Linked DNA regions of Saccharomyces cerevisiae S288C. The protein of the gene in region 1 interacts with the protein of each later gene in a biochemical or structural test. Each region holds a gene or a part of one and is shown in the gene's direction. Other genes may lie near its edges.

Region 1 (3,762 bases):
TGTACTTTCAGTGATCATTCTAATATCGATTGCCGTAACCGTTGTTCTTTACTTTTTAACGGCGAATGAGAACTATTTGCAAGCAGTCAAGGATAGTGCCAAGTCCCAGTATGCTTCTCTCCGGGAGAGCTACAAAAGTATTACAGGTAAAACTGAAAGCGCTGATGAACTTCCTGATCATGATGCTGAGGTGTTAGATAGCATAATGGACAGGCTACACGAGCCCCTTTATGAAAAGGACACTTTTGACCCGAATGAAGTCCTTGCTGAAAATAAACAGTTGTACGAGGAGTTTTTACTTCAAGAAATTTCTGAGCCAAAGGTGGACAATTTGGTACGTAGCGGGGATCCGTTAGCCGGCAAGGCAAAAGGAACTATTTTGAGTTTGGTGAGAAATTCTGATTTAGAGGATATAATTTCTTCTATTCAACAGCTAGAAGAGGAGTACAATAAGAATTTTGGATATCCCTATACCTTCCTTAACGATGAGGAATTTACTGACGAATTCAAAGATGGAATAAAAAGTATTCTTCCTAAGGACCGTGTAGTAGAATTTGGCACTATTGGTCCAGATAACTGGAATATGCCTGATAGCATAGATAGGGAGAGATACGACCAAGAAATGGACAAAATGAGTAAAGAGAACATTCAGTATGCAGAGGTGGAATCCTATCATAACATGTGTCGTTTCTATTCTAAAGAATTTTACCATCATCCTCTGCTATCTAAATATAAATATGTGTGGAGATTAGAGCCAAACGTGAATTTCTATTGCAAAATTAACTATGACGTTTTCCAATTTATGAACAAGAATGACAAGATTTATGGGTTTGTTTTGAACCTCTATGATAGTCCGCAAACCATCGAAACGCTATGGACTTCAACTATGGATTTTGTCGAGGAACACCCAAACTATTTGAACGTCAACGGAGCCTTCGCATGGCTAAAAGATAACTCTCAAAATCCAAAAAATTATGATTATACTCAAGGGTATTCAACTTGTCATTTCTGGACCAATTTTGAAATAGTCGATTTAGACTTTTTGAGGTCAGAACCTTATGAAAAATATATGCAATATCTTGAAGAAAAGGGAGGATTCTACTATGAAAGGTGGGGTGATGCCCCTGTAAGAAGTTTGGCACTTGCTTTATTTGCGGATAAGTCAAGCATCCATTGGTTCAGGGATATAGGTTATCACCATACTCCGTACACGAACTGTCCAACTTGTCCAGCAGATTCAGATAGGTGTAATGGAAATTGTGTACCAGGCAAATTCACTCCTTGGAGTGATCTAGACAACCAAAATTGCCAGGCAACCTGGATAAGACACTCTATGTCTGAGGAAGAGTTAGAAATGTATTGAAGACATTAGCTTTGAGAATTTGTGCCGCTGCTTTCGAGAACGGCATCACATCTGGGGTTTTATGATTTAATTTAGGACGCACATAGATAGATATATATTATGGAATTAAGAAAAGTTTATAATGTAGCAACCTAAAAATGTTACAGGTGAACATTCATGGAAAATGAAATGTTTCTCAGCCAGTAGATAGTATTGTTGAAGGTATTATTGGTTTGAGAAAGCTACTCCTCAAAAATGTCACTTGATAATATGGAATTATAATGTCGTTATATTTTCAATCATTTCAATACAATATGGTAAACCGAAATCCAAAAACTTTACAATATCTCTTATCTATTGTTATTCGACATTCTTCCCGGGCCTTAACGGCTTCTTAACTAATATTACCCTAAACGGACAAATGGCGAAGGGCCCCATTCATTTACGAACAGGAAAAAAAGAAAGTGACAATACAGCCATAATTTGATGTACCATCTTAATCAGCATATGTTTTCACTAATATACTAAACCCATATGGATGCACGTTGAAAGCACTGTGTGAAAAGAAATTGTCAAGAAAGCCATATAAATGCTGAAAAACTTCAAACTCTCAAAAAGAGATAGTAATGGGTCGAAGGGCAGAATTACATCCGCAGATATTTCCACACCTTCTCATGATAATGGGAGTGTTATAAAGCATATTAAGACAGTACCAGTGAGGTACCTTTCTTCATCTTCCACCCCAGTGAAAAGCCAACGGGACTCTTCACCAAAAAACAGACATAATTCTAAAGATATTACTTCTCCAGAGAAAGTTATAAAAGCCAAATACAGTTATCAGGCACAAACTTCAAAGGAACTATCTTTCATGGAAGGTGAATTTTTTTATGTATCTGGAGATGAGAAGGATTGGTATAAAGCTTCAAATCCTTCTACTGGAAAAGAGGGTGTTGTCCCCAAAACCTATTTTGAAGTGTTTGATAGAACTAAACCTTCCTCTGTGAATGGATCCAATAGTTCAAGTCGGAAGGTTACAAATGATTCATTAAACATGGGATCGTTATACGCCATTGTTTTATATGACTTTAAGGCAGAAAAAGCTGATGAGTTGACAACTTATGTGGGAGAGAATTTGTTTATTTGCGCCCACCATAACTGTGAATGGTTCATTGCTAAGCCAATTGGTCGACTTGGAGGGCCCGGCCTTGTTCCTGTTGGGTTTGTTAGCATCATAGATATTGCCACGGGGTACGCAACAGGTAACGACGTAATAGAAGACATCAAGTCAGTTAACCTACCAACTGTTCAAGAATGGAAAAGCAACATTGCAAGATACAAAGCTAGTAATATTAGCCTTGGTTCTGTGGAGCAGCAGCAGCAGCAATCCATTACAAAACCTCAGAACAAAAGCGCAAAGCTGGTTGACGGTGAATTATTAGTGAAAGCATCCGTTGAATCCTTTGGGTTAGAAGATGAGAAGTATTGGTTTTTGGTTTGCTGTGAATTATCTAACGGTAAGACGAGGCAACTGAAAAGATACTATCAAGATTTCTACGATCTGCAGGTTCAACTTTTGGATGCGTTCCCAGCAGAGGCCGGTAAGTTGAGGGATGCAGGTGGACAATGGTCCAAACGTATAATGCCCTATATCCCTGGACCCGTTCCATACGTTACCAATAGCATAACAAAAAAAAGAAAGGAGGACTTGAATATATATGTGGCAGACCTAGTGAATCTTCCCGATTATATATCTCGCTCAGAAATGGTGCATTCCTTATTCGTTGTTTTGAATAATGGTTTCGACAGAGAATTTGAAAGAGACGAAAATCAAAACAATATTAAAACATTACAAGAAAACGATACAGCAACCTTTGCAACAGCATCTCAAACTTCTAATTTTGCCTCAACTAACCAAGACAACACTTTAACTGGCGAAGACTTGAAGTTAAACAAGAAACTCTCAGATTTATCTTTATCGGGCTCCAAGCAGGCTCCAGCCCAATCAACTTCTGGATTGAAAACTACTAAAATTAAATTTTATTACAAAGACGATATTTTTGCTTTAATGCTGAAGGGTGACACAACCTATAAAGAACTTCGTAGTAAAATCGCTCCAAGGATTGATACAGATAATTTTAAATTACAAACCAAATTATTTGATGGTAGCGGGGAGGAAATTAAGACTGATTCACAAGTCAGTAACATAATCCAAGCCAAACTGAAAATTTCCGTTCACGATATTTGAATCTAGTGTTAGAAGACGAAGCATTTTTCTTCTTTACTTGGCAGATGCACATAGGTTGAACATTTTAATCAACTTTATGATGATTTGCGAGAGTAATAAGATTCTCCCGAACAGTAATAATATTAAGGTATCCAATTCTTCCGAAACAGCGTGATTTGTAATAAAAATAAATAAG
Region 2 (2,977 bases), on another chromosome or scaffold:
TCTACAACCAGTGCAAAATTCATGGAATTTCGGAACCTGAGAATGTTTTTATTCAGATCGAGCCACGCGAGGGAGAGACTTATATCAGAACTCAAGATATCCTGGATACCATAGAGGTAAATCAAGATGAATTGGCGCTGGTCTGTTTGTCAGGTGTTCAGTATTACACGGGGCAATATTTCGATATTGGCCGAATCACCTCATTTGCCCACCAATTCCCCGACATATTGGTTGGATGGGATTTAGCACACGCTGTAGGGAACGTCCCATTGCAACTTCATGATTGGGGTGTTGACTTTGCCTGTTGGTGTTCTTACAAGTACTTGAATGCCGGGCCTGGTGGAATTGGTGGCTTATTTGTCCACTCGAAGCATACTAAACCAGACCCTGCTAAGGAAAGTTTGCCAAGATTAGCTGGTTGGTGGGGCAATGATCCTGCTAAGCGATTTCAAATGCTGGAAGTATTCGAGCCGATTCCAGGAGCATTGGGATTCAGGCAATCTAATCCAAGCGTTATTGACACAGTGGCATTGAGAAGTTCATTGGAATTATTTGCGAAGTTTAATGGTATTAATGAAGTTCGTAAAAGATCGTTGTTGCTGACGAACTATATGACGGAACTGTTGGAAGCCTCCAAGTATTACAAACACCCTTTAAGGATCGAGAAATTACCATGTTTTTTTACAATATTAACTCCAACAAGCACAGATGAAGAACATGGCGCCCAATTGTCACTTTACTTCGATTCTGACACTGGAAAAGAGGATATTATGCCCAAAGTTTTCCAATATTTGCATGACCATGGTGTCATTGGCGATGCAAGAAGACCAAACGTAATTAGATTGGCTCCTGCTCCCTTATATAATACATTTTCAGATGTATACATTGCGGTGAATGCACTAAATGAGGCGATGGATAAGTTGTAGTCCTAGAGTGACCGCATCGCCTTCATCTTCTTTTGGATATTATATATGACGTAGTTTGAAATTCGTATACTTACTGATAGCGAACCTATAAATTTATACTTTCTTTCCAAGAATTAAAATAAATATCTGGGCCCGTGTATTACTTACCAGTTGCCGTGCATAGTCGTGAATCTTCTTTCATTTATCAACCTTCTTCCAATAATGAAGCTAACTTATCAGTGGTAGTACTGTTGAACGAAACAAGCCGGAACTCAAAAGGGTAATTTCGTGAAAAACAATCATCTACGGTATAAATAACAATTTAATTTACGTCTCTTTCGAAAATGCTCGTGTAGCTCAGTGGTTAGAGCTTCGTGCTTATAGCAACATTCGGTTTCCGAAGTTTCTGTGCCAAAGACCTTTCAAACAGGCCTTTAAAAGCAACGCGACCGTCGTGGGTTCAATCCCCACCTCGAGCACTTTCTCTTTTTTTTTTAAAAAAAGTTGCATTATTTCTATCAACTGTTGTAGCTACGTTACACCTAATTTTGTATTGTAGACTGTTAGATAATCCACATATACAGGTAAATACGGCACATTGTCTTCTAAACATCGCATTAAAGATGTCTTCCACCGTCGATTCAAGGGTCATTCAATACGGGTAATACTGCTTCCATTGGGCCCTTCCAAATGAAACAAGATACGGGAAAAAGTGATAAAAAAAAGCAAACAAGGTTGATTGATCGATGATAGACGCGATTCTTGGAAAAGGCAAGAGCAGCGTTTTGATAAATAGGTTCCAGGTGTACCGAGATATACTGATTATCCTTCTCTGTCATTCTTCACTTTTTGCAATAGGTTTCCTTTGTCGCAAAAAATTATATTCGTTATTTATTATACTATTCTATTTTCCTGAGGAGATAGGTTAACAAACGAATTAGAGAAGCAAAACTTATAAAACAAGAAATAAACGTATTAGCTCTTCCACAAAATGCAAACGCTAAAGTGTGTTGTTGTCGGTGATGGTGCTGTTGGGAAAACGTGCCTTCTAATCTCCTATACAACGAATCAATTTCCAGCCGACTATGTTCCAACAGTGTTCGATAACTATGCGGTGACTGTGATGATTGGTGATGAACCATATACGTTAGGTTTGTTTGATACGGCCGGTCAAGAAGATTACGATCGATTGAGACCCTTGTCATATCCTTCTACTGATGTATTTTTGGTTTGTTTCAGTGTTATTTCCCCACCCTCTTTTGAAAACGTTAAAGAAAAATGGTTCCCTGAAGTACATCACCATTGTCCAGGTGTACCATGCCTGGTCGTCGGTACGCAGATTGATCTAAGGGATGACAAGGTAATCATCGAGAAGTTGCAAAGACAAAGATTACGTCCGATTACATCAGAACAAGGTTCCAGGTTAGCAAGAGAACTGAAAGCAGTAAAATATGTCGAGTGTTCGGCACTAACACAACGCGGTTTGAAGAATGTATTCGATGAAGCTATCGTGGCCGCCTTGGAGCCTCCTGTTATCAAGAAAAGTAAAAAATGTGCAATTTTGTAGTCATATTAGTATATGCCCATCTTTTCTTAATCTATATCTAAAATTAACTTATATATACACCTTCCTATCCTTTTATTATCGTTGTATTTCATTTTTTCGCTTTGCTCAGAGTTGATTCTCTTTGTTTCTTGCGCCAGGATCATCCGTCTGTTCAAGGCGGAGTAGTGCAAAAAAGTCGAGCCGTCAAGCCCCAAACGTTCAATACTTCCATGTTCTTCAACGCTAAACGCGACATTTGCGAGTCCTACCACGTCTTCTCCGTTTACGGGCAAAAACACCTCTTAACATCAAAAATTTGGCTTTCGTGCTTTTTTCTGAAATATATTCGTTGCATAGACACGGTATGCATATGAAACATTCAGGCTAGCAATCAATACTTAAACCCTTTACGGGCGTGCATGATGTATCAGGAAACCAGTTTGAGAATGTCGCCCACCAAGCTCCATGGAAAGGCGCAAACCAATTACGCGGAACACAAAAATGGGCCTTTTTTTGATCGCCTCAA

What was found. Proteins that work in one complex are often made in the same cells at the same time.
Region 2: the proteins of BEM1 (region 1) and CDC42 form a complex in vitro, tested with the Saccharomyces cerevisiae proteins (3 studies listed by BioGRID).

Annotation. Positions count from the first base shown.
Region 1 is NC_001134.8:618,941-622,702, forward strand, and holds BEM1 (phosphatidylinositol-3-phosphate-binding protein BEM1), read left to right. Parts: upstream 1-1,931; coding exon 1,932-3,587; downstream 3,588-3,762. Other genes in the region: KTR4 (putative mannosyltransferase), read left to right, coding at 1-1,363.
Region 2 is NC_001144.5:603,707-606,683, reverse strand, and holds CDC42 (Rho family GTPase CDC42), read left to right. Parts: upstream 1-1,896; coding exon 1,897-2,472; downstream 2,473-2,977. Other genes in the region: BNA5 (kynureninase), read left to right, coding at 1-926. UniProt on the Saccharomyces cerevisiae protein: Involved in development of cell polarity during the cell division cycle, and essential for bud emergence. Affects signaling in the pheromone-response pathway through the STE20 protein kinase.